4 linked regions of the Oreochromis niloticus genome follow. The protein of the gene in region 3 interacts with the protein of the main gene of each other region in a biochemical or structural test. Links are inferred from orthologs where the notes say so. Each region holds a gene or a part of one and is shown on either strand. Other genes may lie near its edges.

Evidence for each region.
Region 1: the proteins of small ubiquitin-related modifier 2 (region 3) and rnf4 form a complex in vitro, tested with the Homo sapiens proteins (15 studies listed by BioGRID, with this or other methods). The link is inferred for Oreochromis niloticus from reciprocal best matches to the Homo sapiens genes SUMO2 and RNF4.
Region 2: the proteins of small ubiquitin-related modifier 2 (region 3) and top2a form a complex in vitro, tested with the Homo sapiens proteins (2 studies listed by BioGRID). The link is inferred for Oreochromis niloticus from reciprocal best matches to the Homo sapiens genes SUMO2 and TOP2A.
Region 4: the proteins of small ubiquitin-related modifier 2 (region 3) and zmym2 form a complex in vitro, tested with the Homo sapiens proteins (4 studies listed by BioGRID). The link is inferred for Oreochromis niloticus from reciprocal best matches to the Homo sapiens genes SUMO2 and ZMYM2.

What each region holds. Positions count from the first base shown.
Region 1 is NC_031966.2:36,323,723-36,330,602, reverse strand, and holds the start of rnf4 (E3 ubiquitin-protein ligase RNF4), read left to right. Parts: upstream 1-3,861; 5' UTR 3,862-4,141; intron 4,142-5,247; exon of another isoform or gene 5,248-5,336; intron 5,337-5,520; 5' UTR 5,521-5,601; coding exon 5,602-5,613; intron 5,614-5,722; coding exon 5,723-5,864; intron 5,865-6,770; coding exon 6,771-6,859; intron 6,860-6,880. UniProt on the Homo sapiens protein: E3 ubiquitin-protein ligase which binds polysumoylated chains covalently attached to proteins and mediates 'Lys-6'-, 'Lys-11'-, 'Lys-48'- and 'Lys-63'-linked polyubiquitination of those substrates and their subsequent targeting to the proteasome for degradation.
Region 2 is NC_031973.2:19,732,906-19,740,222, forward strand, and holds the start of top2a (DNA topoisomerase 2-alpha), read left to right. Parts: upstream 1-4,297; 5' UTR 4,298-4,468; coding exon 4,469-4,486; intron 4,487-5,215; coding exon 5,216-5,362; intron 5,363-5,504; coding exon 5,505-5,595; intron 5,596-5,705; coding exon 5,706-5,769; intron 5,770-5,883; coding exon 5,884-6,029; intron 6,030-6,244; coding exon 6,245-6,342; intron 6,343-6,434; coding exon 6,435-6,647; intron 6,648-6,953; coding exon 6,954-7,127; intron 7,128-7,317. UniProt on the Homo sapiens protein: Key decatenating enzyme that alters DNA topology by binding to two double-stranded DNA molecules, generating a double-stranded break in one of the strands, passing the intact strand through the broken strand, and religating the broken strand.
Region 3 is NC_031971.2:26,017,955-26,025,968, reverse strand, and holds the start of small ubiquitin-related modifier 2, read left to right. Parts: upstream 1-4,993; 5' UTR 4,994-5,131; coding exon 5,132-5,152; intron 5,153-6,056; coding exon 6,057-6,188; intron 6,189-7,128; coding exon 7,129-7,200; intron 7,201-8,014. Other genes in the region: ADP-ribosylation factor-binding protein GGA3a, read left to right, coding at 911-1,110, 1,903-2,072, 2,202-2,312, 2,517-2,627. UniProt on the Homo sapiens protein: Ubiquitin-like protein that can be covalently attached to proteins as a monomer or as a lysine-linked polymer.
Region 4 is NC_031987.2:27,445,696-27,452,959, forward strand, and holds the start of zmym2 (zinc finger MYM-type protein 2), read left to right. Parts: upstream 1-4,261; 5' UTR 4,262-4,515; coding exon 4,516-4,734; intron 4,735-7,264. UniProt on the Homo sapiens protein: Involved in the negative regulation of transcription.

The sequences.
Region 1 (6,880 bases), on a different chromosome or scaffold from region 3:
TTCCACTGTTATTCTCGCCATGTTTGTATCAACACACTGCTTTCTGCAGTACAGTACTGTTCAGCTGTTGCCCATGAGGGTATGGTACCACCGTGTGCTCCAACACTGCTTCATGCAGACAGAGGGGGAAGTAATCCAGACAAGTTGGAACACCTGTAGGAATTAGTAGCACCAACTTTCAAGGCTGATCAACCTCCATTCCTGCAGCTTTACATTGTTAACTCATGTTGTGCTCCCTGGAAAAAGGCCTTTTTGTATAATTCTGATGTGTACATTAATTTTCATCTTGGGTAACCTTTTTTTTTTTTTTTTTATTAACCTATGGCAGTTTACCACTTACCTTTGTACCATTTCAACCTATTCACTGGACTTGAAACAGATGAATTTTGATAAATAACTGGAAAAACTGGGGTGTGTGTATAAATAATAATATAGTAAACCAAGATATTTTCACACTGTAAGCAGTAATTAAACATCAAGTTGTAGTTTGTACAGTAAATATAATAAAACAGCAAACACCTTTTATATTTATGTAAAGGACTTTTATTGGGAAAGGAGAGATCTGTTCCTGTGTGGAATCTTAAGCAAATTAAGATTCCACACAGGAACAGAAGGTTCATGAATGAGCTGAAGTATTAGCTCAGAGAGTGATGAAGGCCTGTAAACCAGAATAATCGAGTGTGCGATCAGGTTTTACGGTGTCTGTCCAAAAGCGGTGAGCTCAGACCGATACGAGGAGGCACATTGCGTGTTGTTCAATATAGTTTTATTCCACTTGAAATCTGAAAAACAATGTTACAAAGCCTGGAGGTAAATATGGTGTTTGACAGCGCTCCCCAACCCCCGGGCCTTGGACCGGTACCGGTTCGTGAGTCGTTTGGTACCGGGCAGCGAGAGTTGAGGCTCAGGTGTGAAATGTGTGGTTTTCAGGGTTTTTATCGGTTTTCAGCGTTATTTTGTTATCGTTTTTACGTGTGTTATGAATAAATCTTCTTTTTTTCAGTACCTGTACTAGTTTTATTTTGTTGTATTTATCCGCGACACCTTAAAGGTCGGTCCGTGAAAATATTGTTGGGCATAAACCGGTCCGTGACGCAAAAAAGGTTGGGGACCACTGGTGTAGGACACTCTATGCCCCCCTTTAGACTCAGCCCTGTAGGGATCACTGGGACGGAGAGTGGGCCGGCCGCCGTCAGCCTTCAGCGAGCTCTATAAATTAAACATTATATCAGACTCAGTTAACAGTTCATCTGCATATTTTGATGTAGCCTTACTTCTGCAGCTTTACTGCAGATTTTTCTGTAAAATAAACGGCGATGGGTGGAGCAGCTACAAAGTTTGCTGTTCTCCATTGATCAGCTGTTTCCAGGTTTCAATGGTGACTTCAGGAACAGCGCTGCTGTTTCGGAGGCTGTGCTTTCTTTCTTCTCACCTGAGCTCACCGTGTCGGTAACGCCTCTGCCTCTTTACTCTTCACGTTGTATAAACAGACTCCGCCTCCATGTTAAACTGTGCCAGCGTCATCATCGCTGCTGCCGTTATCAGTGTTTTCGGTTTAACACAGTTGATTATTCACACACTGCTCATAGATACACTTCTGTTGTAGTCTGTAGTCAAAGTTTATTGGTCACATATCATGCACTGTGTGACATACGGCGAAATGCTTATTGCTGTGCAATTCCCGCCCATTAAAAATATTCGAATAAACTCAAGAATCAAAATGATGAAGGTGTGCAGATTGATGTATTTATTTTGTTATTAAGTGTGTGTACAGTGACGTGATACGAGAGACACCAGATCAGAAGTATGTTGTTGTTGTTATTAAAGTGCCGTCCGTTAAATGAAGAATCGAGGATTTTTTTTTAAATAAGAAAGTTATAATTGGAGTTACTCGATGAATCGTTGCCGCCCGCCTCTTTAAAACTGTGGATGACGACGAGCTCAGAACACGAGGGGAGGTAAGAGGTGCGGCCCGCCTCTGGATGTTGTAGTTTCACCATACGAGTCTGAGTTACCTTCTCCTAAACAGGAGGTGAGGGGTCATTTTTGAACTGTACAAACACACCCAGATTTCCTTGTGGAGATCAGGTAGGGACATTCCTGTGACCTCATTTCCTGGTGTAACGCTTTCTGTCCTCCCCTCAGATGTGCCCCTGTGGTCGAAGCTTCAGTCTGGTTACGTCCCGAACATCCAGGAAATGTTTCAGATCCTCGACAACCACATGAAGATGAACCAGGTGGATCACATGACCTTCACCTCCACTTAGAGCTGCAGGTGAATGCACATCAAGTTAACTGCGCAAAGTGACGAGACTCACAGGAAGTTTGTGTGAACTCGGCAGGTGCGATCAGATTATCAGCTTCACCTATCTGTTAGATTTTCCTCGTACTGATGCATGGAGAAACGCCTGACAGGTACAGACTCACCTGTGACCCCAAAGACTGAATTTAGTCAATTTAAGAGGAACAAAAATTCGGTCCAGTCATCCTGATGAGACGGGTGTGACACCGAGACAGGTGAGGCAGAGGCGGGGCCAGAGTTTGATTTACAGACAAACATTTCTTTAAGTGCTTCAGGGAGTATGTTTTGTGAGAGGGTCTCAGCTGTGCTGTATTCAGGTGTGTCTCTCTCTCATTACCTGTTCTGTGTCCAGGTGCTCTGGCTTGCTAGGCGTTCTCCTGATGGCGTTCATGAAGGGCGGGCCTTAAAACAGATTCTGAAGGGCCCGGCTGGATGTTCCTCGCCATGAACTGAGCACTCCCTCTGCACCGGCTCACCTTCAGCACTACAATACCAGAAAGCACTGCTGGCAGCTTTGTGCTAATTAGCGTGTAGACAGGAAGTAGATGGCTGTTTATGTGAAGCTTTTATTGTGAAAATAATAAAATGTTCAGGTCTGTTTCCTGTTTCCTGCCTGTTTGTGCATGCAGATCGAGTCTTTTATTCACAGCATGTTTTCAGTGTGGCTCATTTATGACCAGAGAAGCAGCCATGACATCCCAGAATTCATAGCATAACGCTCAGATATTTCTAATGAGGACAGTTTCACCTGTTCTCATTTATGTGACCTGCTGAAACATGCCGACATCAGTGGGGTGAAGTGAGTTTAGTTTGTGGATGGGATTATGATCCGTCTCATGGACGCTGTTTCCATCACAGTGTTACTGAGTCCACTCAGAGCAACAAACTCCACAAATGCTTCTTTTCTGTCACCTCCTGTTTTATCAGATGACATTAAAAGCGGTGAAATGAGGTAATTTCTGCACTGAATCCAAAGAGGCCACAAAGGTGGAGCGGGTATGTGGTGATGATGTGAGCTCATCATCACTTCCTGTTTGGAGACATGAATCATCTGAAATGTGAAGGTTCATCTCCAGGCTCTTTGTGGAGGGTCTGGATTTTCCTACATCTGAGTTTCAATGGTGCAGGTAGACTGAGCGGGTCAGGCTTGACACAGTGGAAAGGTTCCATGTGTCTCTGAGTTTTAGTATCCTCATCAGTAACTACAAACAAAATAAATACAGTCATGTTTAAAATAAAACAAGTTCAATGTCCCAGGTCAGGTTCTCCTTTCAGGTGTTACTAATCCAATCCAATGTAACTTTGACGTGAATATAGTTTGATTTCAGCGACTGACTCAGAGTTATTTAAACAATTTCATTTGAATGTCCTGTGTTTTTATAGCCTTTTTTGCCTGCAGTAACCACACAGTAACTGTACTTTTACTGGAGTACTTCGAAGTACATGTCAGGTAGTTCAGTCTGAGTACATAAAATAAACTGTAAACAAAACCATAAAGACACAAAAAGGTCTTCCCTTCAATCAGTGGACGCTGCGATGCACGCAGTGAGGCAGCAGGGGGCGCCAATGAGCCGGCGTTTATGAACACTTCCGGTACAAAAGAAGCGGCTGTGAGACGGACAGTAGCTAACGTAAGCCTCCACAGTGTGTTTATTCGACTTAATTATTTTTTTACTCTACTAAAATGTTTGAGGCCGGAAATCTGTCGCTGACACGCACGCGAGCTTCACGCTAACGGTAGGAGCCACAGTGACGAAGAGAGAGGTGCTAACGGCTAAAAGTGAACTGCTAAGAGGAGCAGTGACGGTGACAGCGGAAGCTAACAGTTTATTGCTAACAGTAAGTAAAGTTTAAGCTCAACCGTACACATGTCACGTTTAAAGTATCGGTGTGTCTGAATCTACTGTTTAAATCCTGAAGAGCCAGGCCGTGTTTCTAATTCTTGTAAAGGTAAAACTCCATCATCATCATCATCATTATCAGTGACAGCAGGGTCACTCTGGGTCACCAGAAGCGTTTCTTTCGGCTCCTGGTGACCTCTTAGTGTGATCCCCCTGCAGCTCCACGAGTTTAGCTGGTCCTGGTTTTATGTATCAGGCTCAGATTAGAAATTCTTGACTTTCTGAACAGAGACGAAGCAGCTTCTGGTACGGAGAAAAGGTGCGAGTTTCAAAGGTCCCTCCTGTTTCCTTTTCCTAACCTCTTTTACTTGCCCTCGGTGGAAGCATCATTGAGGTAAAGGAAAGGTGGTTAGGAGACGTACGCTGAGGAAAGGAACGGCCTCACACTCGTTTCTTTTAACAGCGTGACACTGCAGAACATGGACTACAGATTGATTTTCTTTCACCCAGATCTCTTTTATCCAAATTGCATCGCTGTTTTTAGAGAAAAAAAATGAGTAAAACCTGAGTTTGCACTGGGTTATTTTGGTTAGCATCCTTCACGCTCCCTCCTTGAGTCACTAATTCAGCTGCTTCTGCTACCTCACAGAGTAAATCTGTCCCATTGCATATAATATCCAGATGCGGCTGTCGCAGCACCTTTCCTCTTCTTGTTTGAGGAATTCTGCGACTGCATTAAATTTCCTCCATCACCACTGATCCCAGCTGACCTGAAGTAAACACAAACCCTACAGTACCATAACAAAGGACATCACTAATAACCACTGATCATACAGAACCTTGAGCACACTTTGTTCATATAGATCATAATTTTAGCTCGTACAGCGTTCTTTGTGCAACACTACCTCAACAGGAAGTAGTTTTTATTCCAGCAGTGTGATGCTCAGCTGTGAGTTTAATCGCTGCTGTTAAAAACTATAAATCTATCAGCGGGTTAAGGAGGAAATGGAAAATGCAGTCAGAAGGAACATTTACATGATCCACTTTGGTCATGTTTGTTTTCATGCGTGGTCAGATGTTTTCTTTCCCTCCCCTTTCATAAAGGATGCTCCAGCGTCTCCTATGCTAAAGGAAGCAAGATCCCTGTTCCCCTATGAACAAGGATCAGATGGATTCATACACACCTGGCTGAGGTGTGTATGAAACCTGTAGGACTCTGTTCTTCCATGTTTATTTAGTTTTATTTTTTTAAATCTCACAGCATGGATTCATTAAAAGAATTACCAAGGGTTGTTACTGATTGGCTGGAGGGTATTGTCACAGGTGGATCAAAACAGACTGATTCATGTCTAAAACCGACAATCGATAACACTCCAGCTGTTACAGGTGCAGGTACCTGAGCTGTTTCTCTGGTCTCCATCCTCACCTGTGCCGTGAAGGTGAATCATTAAGTCAGAGATGAGCAGCTCTGTAAGTCTTCTTCTTCTTCTGTGGTTTAACCTGTTCAGCTGTCACACTGTCAGCTGGTGTTTACCTGGTCAAGTGTGTTAAGCTCCACCTCCTGCTGTTCTGTTTTCAGGTTCAGAGGAAGAGGCGGAGCACACAAAGTCCCCCGGTTTCTAGACACAACGCCAAGAGCGGGAGAGCTGCGAGTACCAGGAGGACGGCGAACGCCGACAGTGATCCCACCCCCCCAACAGAGACCATTGACGTGGTGGACGGTCAGTCCCGATCAGTACACTCAGTTTCCAACTGATCGAACAGTCATTGATAGGCCTGCATCTACAGGTGTTTTCAGACCAGACCTGACTCATCTAGACACACTCTCAACCTCTCGGCCAATCAGAGAGCTGCTTCTGGTCAGAGGGCCCGGTGGCGCCAGTGTCCAGCAGCCTCGCCTCTGTCAGTGTGCCCCAGGGTGGCTGTGGCTACAATGTAGCTTGCCATCATCAGTGTGTGAATGGGTGGATGACTGGTTGTGTAAAGCGCTTTGGGGTCCTTAGGGACTAGAAAAGCGCTATACAAATACAGGCCATTTACCATTCTTTTTGAAGTAAAACTGAAGAGAAAAACATGTTCAGACCTCACCGGAAGTGATGTCAGTAGCAGGTCCTCACTGCTAAGAGAAATAAACATACCTGAGCTGTTTGCTGAAGGTGACCTCCCACACCTGAAAATACAGTCAGTGGGTTTCCTGGTGTGTCCTGATCACTGACACACCTGCAGCCCAGAGGAAACAAAATCCACCTGACGGTTAAAAATTCATCAGAGGTGTGATTAACACTTGACCACACGTCTGACACACAGGTGACCAAAAATGGGACAGTCACAGCTGTGTGGGGGACCTCTCTGCTCCTTAAAGTCGTTCATGCTGGGGACCGCCAAATGGAGCCACTTTGGGTATAAAGAACCACCAGCTGTGAGAATCCAGATGTTTGACAGTGTTCATGCCTGTTTATCTCGATCTGTTTACCTGATTATTGGTTATCGATAAAATCACCAGACTTGGAGATGAAACACTTTGATTGTAAAGATGGAGCCGCGTTACGTCACTGATGTCGGGTAACGTTGAGAATGATGAATAGTTGAATCTTGACACTCGACAGTTTGTGGTTGTGTGTGTTCAGGTGAGGAGGAGGTGGTCGTGGATCTCACCTGTGAGAGTGGAGCAGAAGCTGCTGTGGTCGACCTGACTACCAACAATGACTCTGTGCTGGTAACTCTCTCTCTCTCACAC
Region 2 (7,317 bases), on a different chromosome or scaffold from region 3:
AATTCTTAGTCCCTCACTGTATTCACAATGACAGCCAGGGAGGGGTGTTCACCTTAAAGGTCATGTTGTGGACCTCCAAGGACACAGCTGGAAATGTGCTGGTCAAAACATGACCCAGAAAGCAACCAGAGGAGAAAAAAAATCTGTATATTAATGCTGTGAATGTTAGACGTTTGCTCTAAGATGTTATTTTCCTTCCTAAACACTGTTGTCTCTAATAAAAAGTGTTGAAGGTTTAAATATTGAGTAACAGCTCCTTCTTCCTCACATCCAGCACGGCCTGAGCTACTGAGATTTTGTTTTCTACCTTAAGCCATTCACTGGCGGTCGTTTTATCTGTCACACACCTGGAAATTGACTGAGCCAAAATATTCACAGTGGACCTAAAGCTGTAATTTTGTTTTCATTTTAGTTCATTGTCATCATTTTTTTATGAGCTCTCTCTTATCCTGCTACTCGCAGGGAAAAGTCTTTGCCAGGAAATAATTACACACACTGTGAGGGGAATTTAATCAAATATAAGTAAAATCCAACAGAAACCACTGCCTGACACTTACTCCTCGTAAAGAGCATTTGGTAGCACTTTATATAAGGGCCTGCTAAGGGCATAATTTCCAAAATCTGAAATTATGATGTAATTATATTCACCCGCAAATACTTAGGGTAGCAAGTCAAGTTTTTACAGAAAATAAGAAATGATTATACTGTAAGTAATTTTAAGACACTTGTTATTACAGTTTTATAGTGCAGCAGATAGTTTTATGTTCAGTGGTGGACAACAAAATTGGTACATATACCCAATGCTTGATGAACCCCATTTCTAATAAAATAAACAAGACTTTTTAATTGTTCACAGTATCAAATCACATCATGATTCAGTTTTCTTTATATAGTGCCAAATCACAACAACCCAACTCAACAAGTCAACTCAAGCAACTTTCATTCAATAATACAGAGAAAACCCCAACAATCATGACTCCCTATGAGCAAGCACTTGGTAAAAGTAGGAAGGAAAAATCCCTTTTAACAGGAAGAAATCTCCGGCAGAACCAGGCTCAGAGAGGCAATGAATCTTCTCTGTGGTCTTCCTCTTTTCCTCCTGGTTTGCAGCTCCATATTCGGCATCCTTTGTCCAGTTTATCGACTATCCCTCCTCTGCACACGTTCAAACCATCTCAGCTCTGCCGCTCTTATTTTCTCTCTAGTCTGTTCGACCTGAGCTGTTCCTCTGATTTACTCATTTCTAACCTGTCCATTCTAGTCACTACCAATCAAAATGATTCCAGTGCAGGGTCATTATTAACTCCAATATCTTTGGCTTATCTTTTGCGGTCTATGATGGATGCAAAGCCAAAATAAAGAAAATTATCTTTTTTTTCCACTCTTGGCTGTCACATCTTTCACAAATCCCCAAACGCTCTCCTGGACAAGCTCTGACAAGCTTGTCAAGTGCTCAGTTGGAGCAGCTCTTTACCTGTCACACTAATATCCGTAAAGGAGCCCTTTCCTTGTAAGACACTGTTCATCAAGCCACATCAAGCATCTCCTTCAGACAGCTATCAACACGTCTGTGACACTCCAAGTTTCGTTTTCTCCCACCGTCCCCAGCAGTCAAGCTTCAGAAAACACAGAGCCATCAATAAATAAACAGGAAGGCAGGTGGTAGCTACTGAGAGTGTCCATCTACTTTGCAGGGTGACTATTTTTGGATGCTAAGTACTTAGCATTCCTGTTTCAAACTGCCCACTTCTGCTAGATAAGAGAAAGTCTGTGTGAGACTTACACAGTGTTAAAAAATTATTTGTCCTCATTAAAAGTAAAAAGTGCAACAGAAATATATAAAATCAAAGGTTTATGTATTCTATTAATCATTAAAGAAAATATTCTTGATATTAGATAGATAGATAGATAGATAGATAGATAGATAGATAGATAGATAGATAGATAGATAGATAGATAGATAGATAGATAGATAGATAGATAGATAGATAGATAGATAGATAGATGAAATAGTCCAGATATATAATGTGGAATGTAATAAATAATGTTTGAGTGTCCAAAAGACACAAAAATCCCTAGAAGGCCACAAATGTTTATTTTTGCATGTTGTTTTGTATGCATTTAACAAATGTGATATGTTGATCTGATCAAAATTCTGCACCCTTATTGTAAAGGTACCACATAAACTGTCTGTTTTCTTGTTTAAAAACAGTCTTTTTTAAAGCTACCATGTCCAACCCTGTGTGCATTGAAAGTGTGAGGGCAGCAGGCACATTCTTTTAGATTTCTTAAAGGAGATAACTCAATCTTTTTGGCTGAAAATACCAAGCAAAAAAATATCAGATAAACAGTTCTGTGTGCTCGCTCCTTCATTCATGTGTGCAGCTGTGGGTGTATTAGTGTACTTGCAATCCACTACATCGACCGGACCGAGGCAGCTCTACTCAAGCTCCTCCGCCCTATTATTACCATGCTAAGGTCAGATGAGTGGGCAACATAGCAGAGGAAGACAGATAAGAATGGTAGAACGGTTGGATAAATCAGGTTACTGCATTTCCATTGACTGATAGCCACAAGACAAGAAATATGAAGAGAGATGGTTGCTTAGAGCTGAATAAAACTGTGCTGCTGAAGTAATGCTTTCTTAGCATCACATATGAATCTTTTTATCCCAGTAGAATAGAGGATTGGGAAAAAGTGAAGGTCTATCTGATAAATGACTAAAAAACACAGTGTTGGGGTATCGTGCAGCTACATAGGAAGAGTCCAGGACAGAAAGGAACAATATAAAAGAAGAAATATGATATTGAGCACTAGACAGATTTTAAGCAGTTCCTGTATTTTATGCAAGTAAAAGAGAGACAAAGGACAGAAAGTGGCAGCGGTGGTGATAAATCAAGTGAAAGATCCAGTACACTCTAGTGTAAAAAGAAAAAAGAAGTGAGCACCATGGTCCCAGAAAAACAGAACACTTTTCTTGCAAGGCAAGTTTTGTACATTTAAAAGGCCACTCATGCTTTATATCCCAAGTGACCAAAAAGTGTCAAAAATCATAACACCAGACAACAAAATCCATTTCCTTTTTTCCCTTTTTCTTCACATCATGTCCTCTTTTTCTCTGCAGTTGGGGAGTTGGAGGAAGGAAAGTGACATCAATCAGGCTATGGGCCCTTTGCCAGCGTCAGTGGGGGGCTGAGCCTGCTGACCCTGGATCTCAGTATTAGTGAGCTTTTGTTGCATGAGCAAGCCAGTCCACAATCAGTGCACATCTGTAATGCATTTGAAAATCTTTCTTTTAGTTGAATTGGTATGAATGTTTTTTTCCTATGTGAGAGGAATCTCTTACCTGTAAAACTTTGTCTGTTATCTAGATGAATACATGAGTTCTGGGAAATATGCTGTATATGAGATAAAATAAGCATAGATGTTCAAGCTCCCCTCCTCAGATATGACCTCTGATTGGATTGGATTATGCAGCAACAGAATAAAAATATATAATCAGACCCAGAAGGAGACATACTGATAGTATTTACTCTATGTCCAATCTGATATGATTACATCTTACATCATTATTCTCTTGGAGCCTCAAATCACTGATGCTATTAGGGGTCCTTCGTTGTGTAATGACCTACCTAAGTAAATCTGTCTTGCCTCATCAGTGTCTTCATCTCTACTGAAAAATTTATTTTAGTATATTTTTTTAAATAATGTTTTGCCATAAAGGATGAGGTATTTTAGTTGATTTGTAATTTCTTTATAACTTCGTCTTAGTTTGTTCCTTTATTGTGTGTTTCTGGAAAGCGCATTGTTATGATAGTTACTATTATTATTATCATTGTATTACAGTTGATAAAAAGTAAAGATTCACGTTTGGAACTGCTCAGTCAGCCTTAAAAACCGAGAAACGTGAAAACATCAGAGAGAAAAAGCTTCGTTTGTATTTGTAGAACAAAAATCCAAGAACATTGAAAACAAAATAGTAATAATAAAATATAGGTCACATTTCTTCATTGGACACTATAAAAATAGAGCTGACAGGATATTTTTTATCCAAAACAAGGAAACAGGCTATTTTGTTTCCCTCCTAACTCTTTTCCTGTCTGTACTTGAATTCCCAGCACGTAGGTTACTTCTTTTTGAAAGCTGATTGGCTGTGATACAAGAGATGGGTGGGCTCATGCCACTTTTACCGTCTACGATTGGTTATTTAATTGAAAAAGAACGGATTTGCTTCTCTCATTGGAGGAATTCGTCACGCGCTCAGTAGTATGATTGGTCAATATAGCTGGCGGGAGATGTTTCCACAAAATTTCGAATATTCAAACTGGGACCTCAGCTCAGGCAGCGAAGGAACGTTTTAGTGCAGGCAGCCGTTATTATTGGGGGTAGCTGGGATTTATTTAGCTTGTTGCAAACCTAGAGTGTACTATATTTCAAACGAAGGGCTTTAACATTAAATACAAGAAGAATGGCTGAACCGTTGAAGGTAACGTTACTGTCGCTTTCATATTTGCTGCTAACGTGTTATTAGGCTTACGTGCTAACCTGCTACAACTGTAAGTTAAACTTCTAAGAAACAGTTAAAGGCACTTGGCTAACGTCGTGAGCTGCTTAATGTAACAGTGCCCGCTGTTTAGACGTAATAATGCACTACTTGCAGAGTGTTCCTTTTAGTAACTTAACAACTAGTCCTAACTCTTGGCACAGCAGCTTGTAAGCATTAACTATAGCTAATGCTGCTAAGCCAGTTGAAATGGTGTTACCCCTGCATTCATTCACCTCGCATTATTTATTGTGTTTGAAATAAAAACTGTCCTTAAATACTGAGCTAAACCCTGTGTCCTTGAGCGTCAAATGTAATCAGAGCCAAGCAACTTCCAGGGGGGTGTTTTCTCCCCCCCGTACATTTGCATTGTGTTTTTTGTGCAGTAAAACTGAAGACGTATATAACCGCAGGCATGCAAAACTGTCAGCAAGTAGCATTATAGATGATGTTGATCATTATATTAAGGTTTCCTGCAGTACAAAGATAAGTCCCATCTTCGTTACGGTGCAAGGCCTATAAAAGATATCAGTATATTGATATTATTTAAAGCTTTTCATTTATTTATTTTTTTTGCACCATGTGAGGGAGAATTGCTTTCGTTATCCATAATGACAATAAAGAGTGTTGAATTATGAATCTTAAAAGATAACCTTGTGTCGTTTTCATCAGGCCTTTTTTGAGAACAAGCCGGTGGAAAAGCTGAAGAAGGATCCTAAGCGGCTGTCAGTGGAGAGGATCTATCAGAAGAAGACGCAGCTGGAGCACATTTTGCTCAGACCGGACTCCTACATAGGCTCTGTAGAGCCTGTCACTCAGGTAAGAAGTTTTAAAATGTCTTTAACAGTCATGTGTAGATTTAAAGCAGGTTTTTTGGGGGGGGAGTTTTGACTGCACAGTTATGGTTCTTATTAAATGAACGCATGCAAGCTCCTTGTGATTATTTAACTTCTTTCATTAGCAAATGTGGGTGTTTGATGAGGATGCTGGACTGAACTGCCGTGATGTGACATTTGTGCCTGGGCTCTACAAGATTTTTGATGAGATCCTTGGTAAGTAAAAAGCTCTTGCAATTATAGATGTCCATGACAAACCTTTATTAAACAATGTTTTTGCTCCAGTAAAATGTAGTAAAAATAGATTTTACTTTCTCTTTCCGTAGTAAATGCAGCTGATAACAAGCAGAGAGATAAGAGCATGTCCTGCATCAAGGTCAACATTGATCCGTGAGTTGTGTATAACGGTGCACTACCAAGTTTAAGATATTAAAATACAAAGTAACTCTACTACAGCTACCAGCTGACAAATCAAGCGCTTGTGTATGTTTTTGTTCCTTTTAGTGAAAACAACACCATCAGTGTATGGAATAATGGGAAGGGTATTCCTGTGGTGGAGCACAAAGTGGAGAAAGTTTATGTACCTGCTCTCATCTTTGGACAGCTTCTCACTTCAAGTAACTATGATGATGACGAGAAGAAAGTCACTGGTAAGATTGATGAATTTGAGTGCTTTAGATAATACTGATTGTTTTCTGTCATTCTTAATGAGAAGATATTCTGTATAATTACAAAGACTCTTTTCTACATCATTATGTCCAACACAATTAATGGTGAAATTTTAGCGTTTTATTAGGAAAAAAAAAAACAAATTTAATGTTCAGTCTGTTCCTAACTCTATAAATGTTATATAAATGTTCTTCAGGTGGACGAAATGGATACGGTGCCAAGCTTTGCAACATCTTCAGTACAAAGTTCACTGTCGAGACTGCTTGTAAACAGTCGAAGAAGTGCTTCAAGCAGGTATGAAGGAAGGTCAATCTCATTTCCCACTTTAATTTTTATGTCTTGATCAGGGAGAATGTCATTTTCTGTTATGCCCATGTTTCCCATAGACTTGGTATGACAATATGGGCAGAGCAGGGGAGGCTAGCATCAAACCGTTTGATGGAGAGGAATACACTTGCATCACCTTCAGACCAGATCTGGCCAAGTTTAAGATGAGCATCTTGGACAAAGACACAGTGGCTCTGATGACCAGGAGGGCCTATGATATTGCTGGAGCCACTAAGGGTGTCCGGGTGTTCTTTAATAGCAAGAAGCTACCAGTAAGTTACTGTGATCTTTAAGTGTTAACTCTTAATGTTTTGGAAACTAATTTCATTAAGCTTTTCAATATATTATGCGTGTTTCAAATGTTGACTGAAGACTTAATTCACAAAGTTGAACCTAAAATCCAAAGCTTTTTGTGTACTTATCAAAAGTAGTCACTTACCTGACCTAAAAATATTTCTAGTAACTTCATTTAATGAAATATTTGATGTTAGCAAGACAAATCTTACATGTTCCATCCTAATTTGTTCAGGATAAAATGCATTTAAACTGATATAAACTGTATGAACTTCACACTTAAGGTTACAGGTTTCCGTAGCTATGTGGACATGTATGTGAAAGACAAGGTGGATGAACTGGGTGGTCCTCTTACTGTCATCCATGAGACTGTCAACGAGCGCTGGGAGGTCTGCCTCACCATGAGCGAGAAAGGTTTCCAGCAAGTCAGCTTTGTCAACAGCATTGCCACAACAAAGGTAATAACTCAGTGCATTGGATTTGATCTAATGCATATATTGTGTCTATGTGTAGGCTGTTGTTAAATCAGTAATTTAAATGTTTAAGTTTGTTGGAAAGCTGTGTAAATTTACATCTTTGAGCAGCTCTAAAATAGTTTAAGAATGATTGAACTAGACTGAGCTCTCTTGGCAGCCAAGCAGAAGTCTG
Region 3 (8,014 bases):
TTTTTTTTTTTTTATCGTTTTTCCATATGATACAAATTAAATTTTAAGTCATTAGAGTACTTTGTATTTTGCGTCAACTGAGATAAGACAAAGATTGAGATGGATTATTTTCATGTAGCTGTGCTAACTGATTACCTGCTAATGGTTCAAATGTGTTTGTGTTACTGTGAAGTCAAATGCTTTTGGATTCCACTATTGATTATTTACCCCAGCATTTCCAGAAGTGTTTCAAGCGGAAGTGTTATAGGAACAGTGTTGTGTGTTTTTTGTTCTCTAACAGGCTAGTTCAGTTCAATAAGGCAGAGAAAGTCTTTCATACCACATGCTGTACACATGTGCCAAATAATGATAGTCATTACTTCAACTGATGTAACAAAAGAATTTCCCAAGTAGAGGATAAATATTTATGATCTCGTCTGTGCCAAACATTTACTACATGTTGTTTTATACATATGGGTCCATAAGTAGTATAATACTTAGACACTGACACAGTTTCTGCACACTGTCGTATTGTATTTTAAATCAGTGAAGTGCCAACTTTCAGCTTTTAATTTAAGAGATTTAATAAAAGCATGGCGGAAACTGTTTAGGATTTTCACTCATTTTTATACATAGTTCAGCGCTTCAGATCTTTGTGTTTAATTTGCATTGAAAAAATGAGGAGACAGACTTAATCTGGCCAGGAAACTACTTGTTAGTCACTTGTCCAATTACAGTTGAGTCTCTGAAAATAGGGGGCTTTGTATAAATTGTAGTACTTCTGTTAAACTCACCAAATCCAATCTATCAGTCTGCACTTAAATCACATTTTGATTGTTGAATGTTAAAATCCACTGTGGTGGTGTACAGAGGCAAAATTACAAAAAATGTGTGTTTTTTCCAAACATTTTCTTTGCGCTTTGTCTTTCAGTCTTGAAGCCACATCCACCCCAATTATATCAGAAGGAATACATGCATGGTCTGCTCCTCTGTCTATCAAGAGTCAGGCAGATGACAGCCCTCTGTTGCGCTCTCTGTCCCCTGTTCTACCCCTGAGCCAGTCGAGTCCAGGTAGAGGACAAGAGGTGTCCCTGGCCAATGTATTTGTCCCTCTTGATACCATCAAGCCAAGTGAGTTCACCAAGTGGGCTTTACTGACTATATGTTTATCTCTAAGTGAAGGTTTTTGTAGCCTGTTGGAGTGTATGCTCAGGGTCCCTGACAAGATAAATTTGAGGTCAAATCAGATCATCTGATGTCTTTCTGGAGGTTTTCAGTGATGGAAAAATGGTGTTTACTCTATTAAGCACTTAACACTATTTTTAGTCCTTAAAACCTATTGGAAATATATATTTCTAAAGTAGATTTTTCACTGAAAAGGACCAGTGTAAAAGCTGTTCAAAAAGAGCTTTATGTTCTCAAAATGTGAACATGTATTTTGTTTTTATTAGGACATTTTTGTTTTTCCAACCAGTAATTTAAAATGTTGGCTGCTGTTTGACCATCTGTCTACTTTGATAGCAAATTCTGTAGAGAGAATAATCACCTGAGAGATTTTGGGAAAGCATTCGTGCCTGTGTACTGCAGATGGTTCACTGACCTCCAGGTGTTTTTTGTCGAAACATAATTGTTAGATGGGAAAATGAACATTTCATCATTACTGATCATTACTGGTGACAGTGAAAAATTGAATAACAAATTGACAGTGAAAAACATATTAATACTGGAAATAAGATGGATTTTATCTTCTTATTGTGGTCTGAAATTAAGCATTGCAGCACGCACGAAAGGAACGATGTGCATGAAAGCAGAAACTTCTTCTAGCTGACTCAAATGACTGTGTTGAGGGTCGTGTGTACTGCCTTATCAGTTTATGAAGTAATCTCAGTTTATTCTTTTTCTTTGCGCTACCTACACTTTTAGGTAAAGTGTGCCCAGTGACAGCTTATGATAAAAATGGTGTTCGTGTTCTGCTGCATTTCGCCACCGACTCTCCACCAGGCAGGCCGGATGTGCTGGTGATGGTGGCGTCCATGCTTAACACAGCCACTCAGCCGGTCAAGAACATTGTTCTGCAGGCTGCTGTGCCCAGGGTAAAACATGACGTGCATACGTAACACTGTTCCTGCATCATGAGATTAGATTTTTGAGAAAAAATCGAATTTAAGTGGGATGCAGCTTCTGTTTGATGTATGTGGATGTCTCTTCTGCCAATTTTCCAGACGATGAAAGTAAAACTGCAGCCACCCTCGGGTACAGAGCTGGCCTCTTTTAACCCAATACTTCCCCCTGCTGCCATCACTCAGATCATGCTGCTTGCCAATCCTCTCAAGGTAAAGCTCAGCCTTGAGCTTTTCTTGTGTTTGTGCATTTAAGCATTTATTTATTGACAGAGCGCTTACTCAGTTGAGCTGTTCATTCAGTAAAGAACGGTGAAACATCTTTTTACTGTCTTCCTTGTCAATCAATATGAGAATATAATGGTTAATGGCTCAGTGCGGTCCTTAACTGAAACATTCTGCTTTTATGTCTTGCAGGAAAAGGTCCGGATGAGATATAAATTGATATTCACCCTGGGAGAGCAGCCATTCACAGAAGTGGGGGAGGTGAATGATTTTCCACCTGTTGATAAATGGGGAGCTCTATAGCTCTGTAGGCTGATTGCTGTAAGACTACTTGATCGATTTGCTCTGCTGTGGTCAAAAGAAAGCAAAATATTAAAGCTTTCAGGCAGAGTTTGAGTATATGATAAACTTTGTTGGATTTCAGAGAGTTGAAGATGGTCTGCTGATGTAGCACAAATACAGCGCTAATTTTATTACGATACCAGAGGTAGTCAGTGTGATGCAGTAACTAACAAAATGAACTGTTTGAATGCTGATGGTAGTTGTTTGGTGAATTTTAAATATTGTTGTGCTTTCATTTTTTTTAGTACCCCTTTGATATAATTTTAATGTTCTTATTTGTGTCTCTGTTTTATTGGAGAATAGTTGCACTTTTGGAAACAAGGCAGTCTTGCATTAGAGGTTAAAATGATTGTGAAACTGTGGTTGTATGAACATGTGATCGCAATTTGAGTTTCACATGATTTCTTGATGACTGTGTAAGATTTTTAGAGTTGAGACGTCAGGCCAAAGCAAACAAGAGCCCCTCTTTTGCTCAAAAATCACTCCAATATTGGCTGACTGGAAATCGGTCGCTTCCAGTGTGGCTCAAAACTACAACTGAATACCTTTCTTCTGGGTTTTACAGGAAATCACAGCTCAGCCTGTTATATTCAGCACTAATATTTTTTAGCATTGCAGTATTTATTGTCATGAATGTATTTATTTTGGTTAGTGAGGAAGATATCACAACTCCTAACGAAATGTGTGGTGATGCAGCTGTCAGCTGTATCCTGCATTCCCCTTATTAATAGATACTTTGAGTATTGTATTAATAGATGAAAAGGTTAGTGTGATTTTCAGAGTCTGTAATGTTACCAAATAGTCATACAGACTTGTTATAAACGTTACATTATTTAGCAAACTAGAGATGGGCTTAACGAGGAAATTTAATTCATGTTGGAAGAAACGGCAGCCATAGGTCAAGGCCTAACCCTTGGGTAACTTACCATGTGTTCATACAGAATTGTGACCTCTTTGTCTTTATCTTTTTGGAGTTACATGTGCTGGAGGTTCTCTACATATTTCTTATAAGTTTATTTATTTGTCATATTGTTAAATTAACTTGTCATTGCATTTTTTGAACAACTACTTCTGTGCATGGATGAATAAAGCCTGGGATGGATTTTATTTATGTTAAACCTTTTAACATTTTAACATGACTTTGTTTTTGTTTTGGGTTTTTTGTTGTTGTTGTTGTTGTTTTTTTTAGTGTTCAAAATCGGTGTAAATGCAACTGAATGTATTTTCATTTTAGAATTGTTATCTCAGTTCCTTAAATTAACTTAAAATGTCTAAGGTACTCTAACGGGCCACATTTTCCCCCATTCAAAGTAATTGAAAATACAACTTTTGATCCTACATTTATTTTGACATTAACTAATTCATTCCTTTATGTTAAGGTTTGATTTTGGAGTACTCGCCTCAGTTTTTTATTTTTATATTTCCCCACCAGATGGTACTGCTTTTTCCCATTCAAAGCAAGTGGCAAAATGTCACTCTTCTTTTTTCTGCAAGGGTGCTTTGCTACTGAAATAAATGTTGTTGGATAATCGTATGTGAGAGAGAGAGAGAGAGAGATCCCCCTTCAAGTCTTTTCTCTTAGTTTATAATGCAGGGTGTGGCCTTTTAATTCAATAAGAGTAAATGTATTGCATTTTGAATATTGTATATCCAGAATGACTACTCCTGCAATTGCAATCATTTTGGATATGGTTGAAGCACTGACATGATTGACTTGTCCATCTCCATATTTTTGTATTCCCCAAATGTTTATCTCCCACTAACACCGCAACGGTCTACGAGTTTGAACCTGGGACCTGCACACCATGCCACCAGCTATGCACCGCTGCTGATTCTAAGTTGTGGCCCTGGGAAACACTCAGTGGTGTATATGGACACAGAGGAACAGCAGCCTTATATAGGGATGCTCATTACAGATGGTGTTTACAGGTCAACAAATTAATCAGTTCAACTCAACATAATACTAGATAATATTTTTACAGCCGTTTGTGGGAAGTTGCATTTTTTTTCATTGGGACCTAGAATATACACTGTAGAAAAAATAAGAATGCATGAAAATCAATGTTTCTGCCAATCGTTAACCTATCTCAGGACCTGATAAAAATAATAGTCATATGCTCCCTGAAATGGATTTTATGTACCTCATGTTGTTGTTTGCTGTATGTGAAGTGCATTAATATAACCAAACAACGTCCTTGATGTGCATTTATTCATTTTGCAATGCCAGATGGTAAGTACGAACTACAGATACAGTGCCTCTACTCCCAGATTATATGTATCTAAACTTCGCTTAATAATTGTTATTAACTTGACGATACTGGAGCCATGAACTATATTGCTGTTAAGTCAAACGCGGGCTCTTCGCTCACTGCAGCCGACGCAAAGTGGCGCGCTAGACTGCGCAGTCGCAGCAGTAGCAGAACAGGCGAGACGCAGGCAGACAGTCCTCAGCAGCAGCAGCAGCCATGGCAGATGGAAAGCCCAAGGTGAGGATTGGACTTTAAATGCATCAGAGCCCATACAAAGTTGAATGTACACGGTAAACTGATGGAAAGCAGTTCGTACAATTACTTCGAATCGTATAACTCCAAAAACCGCTTCAAACATGCGCTAACTTTACGGTGTTTGTTAGGAAGCTAGCGGGTTAAGTTAGCATAATAAGCTAACGTGGCTAACCGACCCGATCCATTGGTGAAATAAAGAAAATATCAATATTTTCTGTAAAATAATTTTTAATCGGCACCTTTAAAATTTTGCCATCTGTATGACTAATGCACATGTAATGGGAAATAATCTAGTTATCCCATACCCGACTAGATTAAGCACCAGTTCAAGAAAAGTGAGTTAACGCTGAGACTGAACAGAGCAACATAAACGGTACAAAAAGGAACCTTTTGAGCAAAAGTCGTAATGTGCAAACGAATCTTAGATTGTAAATAAAGGGTTCCGTTGTACTGACTCGCCAGCCATAAGCCTGGGTAAAGAGATAAGGGTTTTGTTAATAGCACAAGTGGAATAATTTGAATCTTTGCTAGGCCGCAGTGCATCTTGTTGTATTGAAGGCCATTGTTGCTTGAGTTGCCTACAGCTAATGCTAACGTTGAAGTTGTAAATCCAGTCCTCATTGCTCTCGGTACCCACGCTAGTCTTCAGCTCTACGCACATCAGGCAGGCAGTTGTCGCGGAGGATAAAACAAACAAGCAAAAAACGTAAATCCACGCACATATTGTGAACTTAACTTTTGTTTGAAGACAATGAGGTATCGCTGAGATATGCAAAACACCTATGACTCGGAATTTGTAATGGCGGGCGCAGTTTCTTGTAAATCGTCACACCTCCCCCTTTTTTCTAAATAGTGTGACTTTCTATGAACTTGTTTTCTGTCTTAGGAGGGAGTAAAGACGGAGAACAACGAGCACATCAACCTGAAGGTGGCAGGACAGGATGGCTCAGTGGTGCAGTTTAAGATCAAAAGGCACACTCCTCTCAGCAAACTGATGAAAGCTTATTGTGAACGGCAGGTGAGACTGGGACACAATTGTAACTTTTTTTAGAAGTATCTTTAAGTGTATTGCTGGTCATCTGAAATTGATCATTCATAAGCAAGAGACCACGAAATTGACATTTAAAAATACATGGTTCTTGCCAAATCAGAAATGGGGTGGGGGGGGAGGGGGGTATATTTGGACATCCAACAAGGTAAACCTTCCAAAAAAATTTAATTTGCTTAATTTACTTATGCTTAGAATATGTTTCTGTATATCAGATGGCCTAAAATAGAAGGGTAATGCAAACATCTGTTAACTATGGTAACAAGGCTTTTTTTGCTTTAACTATATCCAGAGTTTTTGGTTTGACCCTAAAGAAGCAAATCTTTGTTTTCATTTTGTCATTACTCACATGGTACCCGGAAAAGTTTGGCGGAATCCACACAACCTTAAATTTATCTGGAAGTTAAGAGTCTTAAAAACACCTCAGTTCTACTGTAGACATATTAGGTGTGCAACATCAGTCCTCCCCATCTAATGCGCAGCACACACTGAGACAGTTACACCATTTTGCACATCTGCTATAGTGAAAATAACAAAGTTTTGCAGTTAAAACTAAAATGTCAATCATATATATTTAATCTTTACAATATTCTGGATGTTTATAAATTGTGTTATTTGTATACGTTAGAGCTATTTCTCATGTATGTAACTTTGTAATATATTGTATTTAATTTTAGACAGTCTGTTACGGTTCTAATGGTCTTGGAGCAAGTTTAACCACATAATTTCCTTTTGTCCCACCCTTTTTATTTCCATCAAATTTTGAAGGGGTTTTTTGGTTAAGCAGTCAGTAGGGAAAGATGGTTTTCCTGAAACAGGAGTCATTGCAATTCACAGTCGGTGTTTTAAACCCGAGGTCACAAAAATACCTTGTGAAGTTTAAAAGTAAACATTTTGTTTTTCCACTCAGGGGCTGTCAATGAGGCAAATACGATTTCGATTTGACGGTCAGCCCATCAATGAAACAGACACACCTTCTCAGGTAAGTCTACATGCTCTTGTTCTTGTGCACTTTTGGAATCACTTTTCGTTATTGTGAACTACGGCTGAATAAACCTTGGCCCTCATAGTCTTGCTACTTTGGCTCTTACATCTCATATTAGTTGTTACATGTGAACTCAATGCATTATGTTACAGTACTCAAAATCCACAAACCAGTCAGCTGTTTGGGGCATTCCAGTAAAGTCATGGATTACCACATAGCTAATATAGGTCAGGCCAACATGATCCTTGTTTGTTTTGGTTTGGTTTAGGTTTTTTGTTTGTTTTTGCAGTCCCGAGATTGCATTTCAGCTGATATGTTTCCAGCATATACCATTTACTTTCATGAACTCAAAGAAGCAATAATTCTGCATTACAACTGTACTACAACTAAAACAAGAAAGAGATTATAATATTTACTGTTGTATACAGAAAAAGCATAGAGGTTTACTCAAAAGCACAGAGCCATTATGAACAGATCTAACTCCTTGTTGCATCTGCAGTACCCCTTTATGTCAGTGCAGAACATAATCTTTTTTTACTATGATGTTTAAAGGAAAACATTATGTCAAACACTGGGTGATAAATCAGGTAAGAAACAATACTCTGATACATTAAGTATAGTTATTCACATAACTGCTGTGGACACAAAAATTAAAGCCGCCCATGTCTCCACACATAAATTGGTGTTTCACACAGCTGCTCTACTAAGACTGCCAACCATATAAAGACACAGCAACCAAGACCTTGTACTCCAAAGCAAGTTCAACATACTCAGATCTCTGTTTCACTCGCCCTACCCTTGGTAGTCAGCC
Region 4 (7,264 bases), on a different chromosome or scaffold from region 3:
AGTGAGCAGGGTGAATAGAGGAGGTGTGAAGTGTCTGAGGTGTCAGAGGTGGAACAGCAGCAGTGGGGGTGGGTGAGTCTGCAGCCGATGTTGGAGACTGCCTCATGGCTGAATCAAATCTGTTGAAGAAATGATTCAGTTCATTTGCCCACCTCACATCCCTCCCAGGCAGAGAGTTCTGATGTTTGTGGCCTGAGATGGTTCTGAGGCCTCTCCAGACTTCACCAACATTGTTTTGCTGAAGCTGGTTCTCCATCTTCTGCCTGTAGCTGTCCTTCCCATTCCTTATCAGTCCCCTAAGCTCTCTCTGCACCCTTTTCAACTCCTCTTTGTCTCTGGATTTGAAGGCCCTCCTCTTCTGCTTGAGGACAGCTTTAATTTCTGAAGTAATCCAGGGTTTGTTGTTGGAGAAACACCGTACAGTCCTGGTAGGTACGGTGTTATCCACACAGAAATTAATATAGTCAGTAATGCATGTAGTAAGGCTGTCGATGTCCTCACCGTGGTCGTCACAGATCACCTCCCACACAGTCGACTCAAAACAATCCTTAAGAGCCTCCTCGCTCTCCTCCGACCATCTCTGCACTGTGCGGGTGGCTGGTGGCTCCCTGCGCACTAAGGGCTCATACACAGGGACAAGGTGCACCAGGTTGTGATCAGATCTGCCTAGGGGAGGGAGAGGTGATGAACTGTATGCCTCTTCAGCATTGGCATACAGTAAGTCCAGTGTTTTATTGTCTCTGGTTGGGCAGGTCACATACTGGGTGAAGGTGGGCAGTGTGGAGTCCAGTGAGGCATGATTGAAGTCCCCTGATATTATGAGAAGGGCTCTCGGAGATTGTGTTTGCAGTCTGCTGACCACAGAGTGGAGAGAGTCACAGGCTGCATCCGCGTTGGCCGAGGGGGGGACATACGCTGTTATCGATGGTGATGGCATGTATAAACAGAGCATACTAGTCAAGCTGAGTGTTTCAGAGGTCATGATGGCGAGGGGTTCACTGCTCAGTCAGAGAATTCTTGGAAAACTAGGCAGGCTTTCGAGCAGCAGTTTAAAAACAGACTTAATTCTGTTGCAGAAATCACAGCAGGGGCTCAGCTACACTTGTGAAAAGGATCATCATTGACCACAGTTCATCCCCAACCCACAGTGCAAACTGGGGGGAAAAAATAACATTTAAACAAAAATCCACTAATACCACAGGCTGGACCCAAGATCACTAATCAAGGAGGTTTATTACTGCACATATAACTTGTACACCCATGATCATCACTATCATATGAACATGCTTTAAAGCAAAATATCCAACATCTGTTTCAAACAGTGTCTTGCATCTTTAAGCAAGACCATGCCAAACCACCAGCAGCATGTATCACAGCAGCATGATGGATTTTACTTCTCTGGGAAGCTATTTGAGTGAATCCATATGAGAAGGAAGGACCAACAACACTGCACGCTTATGAAAGAGATTTCAAGCCAAGAGCCCTGGAAAAAGACATGGAGCTTTTTTTTAAATTTGCACTTTTTAAAATAAAGATGTTTTAAGGAGGGAGTTTGCTACCAGTTGTTGTTAATTAATGCAGTTTTTACGAAATGTGTTCATAAGTAGTGGAGCAGTAGAGACATAAAATCCTACAGCTAAAATGCAGCATGTATTCACACTGTACAACAAAGTTTAACTTCCAAACCGATGGTTTCCAATCACACCACTAACAAAGTTGTCAGCGTCATTTCCTCTGTGTGTTAGTGGTAATAAACTGCTGGTTGGTCAGTGTAACTCAGGGCAAAAAAAAACAACAACAAAAAAACGCACAATTGTTTATTAAAACCGCGTGAGTTACAGAGAGGCTGATTACATAAACACTGTGAGTTCACAAAGCCTGTGTGGCACATCATCTTCGATCTTTATCGAGGATCGTATTTAAAAAGAGATCATTTCAGTGTGATTTGCGCCTGTGAGAAACTGAAATCTCCGACATTTTGTGCAGCGGCGCACAGACAGAGGATCTGGCAACCAGACACTCAGCCTCATCAAACTGACTTAGAAATAAATCCGTGTATCTTCCATCCATTTCTACCCCTCATCTCGTGAGTTCAGAGATAGCCTGCGCGTAAGGAGGGTAAGGAGGTGGCGGTCCTTTTGTAATTTTTCTCTTTGATCTCTTTGGGCAGCCGACCCTTTAGTGAATCTGATCTGCACGTTTCAGTGTGACATTTGAACGCACCTGATCCGCCATATTTAACAAACGTGATCACCGGCTCATTCCACCTTTGAGCCACCCCGATTTTTTTTTAAAAAGTAATAACAAAATTACTACTAAACTATAGATTACCCACCTTTACATGTAATAATTTGCACATCTGCCTACTATAATCAGTAGTTACTTAAAGTAGTGTCATTTGATTTGGGCTTAATTTTGCTTTGTAAAGGTGTGTGCGGCATTTTTCTAACACTCTCTGGTGGGCGTCATTAATTTCCCGCCGCCGTTTGGTTTCTGGTGAGTCTCTGGGTGAAATTATGAGAGGAAACCCATGTTGAGCCGACACAGCTGAGAACATGAACTCTCTCAACCCGGATCCTTGCTCCTGATTGGATCCGAGCTGTGTACTTCAATGCGGCTTGTTTAAGCTTTGAGAAAGGGGACCCCCGAAAAAAAAAAAAATCAAGAATAACTAAGGTGCATTTCTAGCAGAACTGGCCACACTTGACCTGGGATACATGATATCCTTCGAGGATAAGGTGCGAGCATCTTAATGGATTTTTAATTGCTTCCAATGCAGCCACTGATTGGACCTCCTGCGCCTGCGCAGGAGGAAAAGAAAAGAGGGTGAATCCTAAAAGAGCTCTCACTCCGTATTTACTTCCGGTTACAATGAAAATAAGAGGAAGTAGTTGTTTTGGGGTTTTTTTAGGAAGTTTGAGCTCGCGGTGTATCATTTTTATTTCAGCCGTTAATTTCTGCTCAACTGTGTTTTAGATATCGGAGACTAACATCACTATAAAACTTAATACGTAATAACTGTTAATAGTGAAAATTACAGACTCAGGCCGATTAAATATAAGATTTATAATTACATAAACGGCTAGCTGTGAAGGTTAACAGCGGGGCAAAAACTAAGGGGTGATTATGGAATTTATACTCTTATTTGAGGTTTTACCAGCAATTGTTTACTTGTAGTTTCAGTTTATGCCCATTTTCAGTGTTGAAAATGTGCCAAACAAAAAATCGTTTGGCCGTTTTAAACTGCTTTCCTCAAGTATGTTAACATCCTGAGGTTTACATTTCATAACAGCTTACATATTCTGTTCAAAATTGAAGGATGCCCCAAACAGCCTATTGCTACATCACAATTAACTATGGTGGAAGGACATTCTTTAGTAAAGATGAAAAAACAAACAAAAAACAACAGCATTATAATAGCCAACATTTGGCTGTATACCCTCCCTCACATTTATCATGAGTCCACAGAGTAACAATTACTGACTTAATAAAACCACTCCTCTGAATCCCCTCTCACCGAGAACAGTGAATAGATATGTTGCAGGTAGACACAAACCATAAATGAGTTCTCAGAAATCCTGTTTTTGTACGTGAGTGAACGTGCCGATGACGCGTAGTGAGTGCTCTGCTCAGTAGATGATCTTGGATATAAACTTGTGCGCACGCGCTTCCGCGGATTAATGTCAAGGCACAAAAGTGGCGCTACACCGTTTTGAGCTCTACTCCGGTAAGCGAATTTCACAGCCGTTTTTTGTATTCTACTTTTACGCCTAATTGGCCAAAGTTTCGGGAACTTGTGCGGGGGGGTTAGCCGGATGCCCAGGGAGTTTCTCGGTACTCACACTGGGGCGTGAAGACTCATTAAGGGATGAATAAACAGTTAATTTGAACAGATTTGGTCCTCTCCGTCTCTGCGTGCTGTAGCTACTGCCGCCTCTAGTCTTCAGTATTGTTCAGTTGGCTAATGGCGGACGGCAGGCAGTGCTGTTTTCCGCTGGGGAGGAGGGAGGTGTGTGTGTGGTGGGGGGTGGGGACAGAATTGCTCCGGTTGTTATAGTAATGGGTTCATACCTAGTTACAGTTTAGGCAACTCACAGGATGCTCACTTAAAACACGGTAAGGGAATTTCTCTGGGTCTTGTTGTTTACCACCGCATGACACAAATGAAGCCAGTTCATGTGATATATGAGAGTAGGGCGCCCCTTGCGGTTGCCGAGTATATTTTGCCAGTGATTGCGCCAGGGTGGACTCCGCGTAGGGTAACTTTCCAATTAAAACCCCCATCGTCACAGGTATCGCAGAAATCGGGTTTTTTATTCGAAACCCGGGTCTGTTTCGCTGGCACGGACATGTGTGCGCCTATAGAGCAGATAATCTGGACAAGAACAGGGGTTGTGGAAGGGGGGAAACACGTTTTTTTTCCCTTTTTTTTTTAGGTGTTGGGGACTGTGCTTGTCAGTGGCACACTGCATTAGCCTATCTTGAGAAACATTTGCTTCTATTTTAATCTGTTTTATGCGAGTAAATTGCGATGATTTTTGTTGGTATTTTAACAATGGCGCAGTCTGTGTCTGCTCTCCTCCCCTCGATCTGCCGCTAATCCAATGGCTGTTTGCGGCAGGGGAGGGAGCGGAACGGAACACCCTGAACCACGTTTCTCCTGGACCCCAACTTGGAAGCCAGTCTAGCCTCTCCTTTTTCCCGGGTTATTTATGGAAGAGCTGCGCAGCTCAGGTAGTGCTGGTTCCGTTTATTCTCACTGATCAAAGTTTTGGACCTGCTTTTTATTGCCAAGTTTGTTAAATATCAATGCCGGGGAAGAGAAATGGAAGCTAGATCGGGGTCGAGTGATAGTCACCGTTGTAGCCGGGGGCATGGGCCGGATTTGGTGCTGTGGTGGTCCTTCCAAGCGGTGTTGATAATCAAGGGCACGACCAGTGGGACTCCGGCGGCCCCCGAAGGCTTCGTACAGCCTGTCCTTCATTGGGTGTTTTCTAATAATTCACAGGAGGTCTCCTCAGCTATGTATAGCAGGGTTTAGTTTTGCGTTCAGGTAACCGGAATGGGCCATTTGATTTTGGGGTTTTTTTTTTTTTGATTTTTTTTTAGCCCATCAGCTGGCTTGGGGATGCTCTGATGGCTGCGCATTACGCATCACTTCTCAGTGACATAAGTCTTATATAATAATCCCAGGCGTTTAATTTGAATATTTTATTAATCGGCTGTTGTCTGCACAAATACTGGCGCAAACAGCTTTCACATCTCCACCTTGTGACCTGCTGGGGGGAGAGAGGGGGGAAAAAAATGTCAACTTCTGTGGCTTCATGCGCAAACTGATGCAGTTGGAAAGGTAGATGAGCACCTCTGTGAGGTGGTGATGTGGCGCAGGCGTTGATTTAAACTGCTAGTCTTGTTGAGGTGTGTGTGTGTTGCATGGAGGCAGGCTCGGCCACAGCGCCATCCCACCTCTCCGTCCACCTGGTGTTGACGTTGGGAGTCAAGGTTGCATGTCAGAGCTCATTAATGCTGGGTCCTCGTTTTCATCTCATCCACGTGAATGCAGGCTGTCTCGTAGCTCTGCATTGCAGTCTGAACTGAGTCTAGACCAGGCTATTTTTTCCCCCCCTCAGAGCACTATTGAGTTGCTTTGCACATAGATTCCTCTGTTGGTGGAATATCAGGCCAGAAAAGCATGAAGCATCTATCTGCAGCACAGCTTTGCTTTGCTTTTGGGAGGTCTTGCAAATGGGGAATGGGTGCCTTTGGGTCTCCTGGCTAGTATTTGGACTCCAGTTAACACCATGGTTACGGACATATGTTATTACCTTAGCACAAGTTGTGTTTGTAGAGGTTAGCTTGGGTTATAGCTTCTAAAGGAAGAACCTAATTATAGTAAGTCAGTGACTTGGAATTCAATCCTTCTTTTGAACAGTCAAGCATATTGTATTGATCTTGAATGTCATTCTGTTTTGCCTTGTACTTCCTGTCACATGGTCACAGCAAGTAAGTGTTCCTTATTCGGCACTAGTGCTCTACAGTGGAGCAGCTCTTTATTAGCAGCAAACATATACAGCTCTGATATAATGACTCTGCTGAGTTTGCAGCAGTGGCTTTTAACAATGTGAACTCCTATATTTCTCTACCAAGCATACAGTTATCAGAGAGTCTTTGTACCTTGATAGAAAGTATAGGACAGATATGCAGCCCGTTTTTGCATATTGAAATTTTTTTCTTCGTCTTTTTTCTGCTTGGAAAACACTTGCAATGAAGAAGTACAATTTAAATAAGCATGAGATCACTTTAGTCATTTGTAAAGCAAAATGGCAGCCTGGCTGGACAAAACGGGGCATTTGAAAGCATCAGAGCAGACTGTGAGAATTTGTAGCGGGAATATATTTTGTCACTTTTTAGTTTTTATGAAGAAATTTGGCGAAATAATTTGTTTTTGTTTTTTTTTTCTGCTAATCTGCTTAAAAATCTTGGAAAGACATGGGATGGGGTCAGTCTTTGTTAATTATCCTGCAGCCGATTTCCTGAATTAGTTGGAAACTTAATGTGAGCGCACTGCTTGACTCCACATCACGACCATGTGTCTCACGTGCTGCATATGGTGCTAAGAGAATTGAAAACGATAGTTAAAAAACTTTATTTGAAAATCAGGTCAAACATTTTTAATTTCAGCACCAATATACTGTTGAGTCCCTTAATATTTGACCAAATTTAATAATTCAACTTTCATAGAGCTGTGTTGTCAACGTAAAATGTGGTAGAGGCAGGGTATTGTATGAGCATGCATGGCTCCCAAAAGCAATGGGTGACTAGTCTTTCCTTACAATGTGACAGAAGCCTGACACATTTTCTCTGGCTCAAATGTAAGTGGAAAATTGAACATAATCCCAGAGATGGGTTTCATGTTTGATACTTTGAGAATCCTTTGCAGGGAGAAACCACCTGAAATCTGGAACCATCACCAAACAAGGAGTTTCCTCCTCTGTCATGGCCTTTGCTGCAGCTGTATTGAGTTCCTGTTTGTTCATAGGGCTTTCTGCCTTTAGTTTTGTCTACAGCAAGTGAAGTACAGCTTGATTGGGTTGACATCAGGTGAATGAATTGGTTATTACAGAATATTCCACATGAATAACTCCAGTTTTCTTAGTATGTCTTGGGTCATTGGAGATTGTTACTGTGAAGCACTATCCATCAACTTTACTGAATTTGGCTGAATCTGAGCAGCACTGTATCCCAGTAAACGTCATCTGGCTGC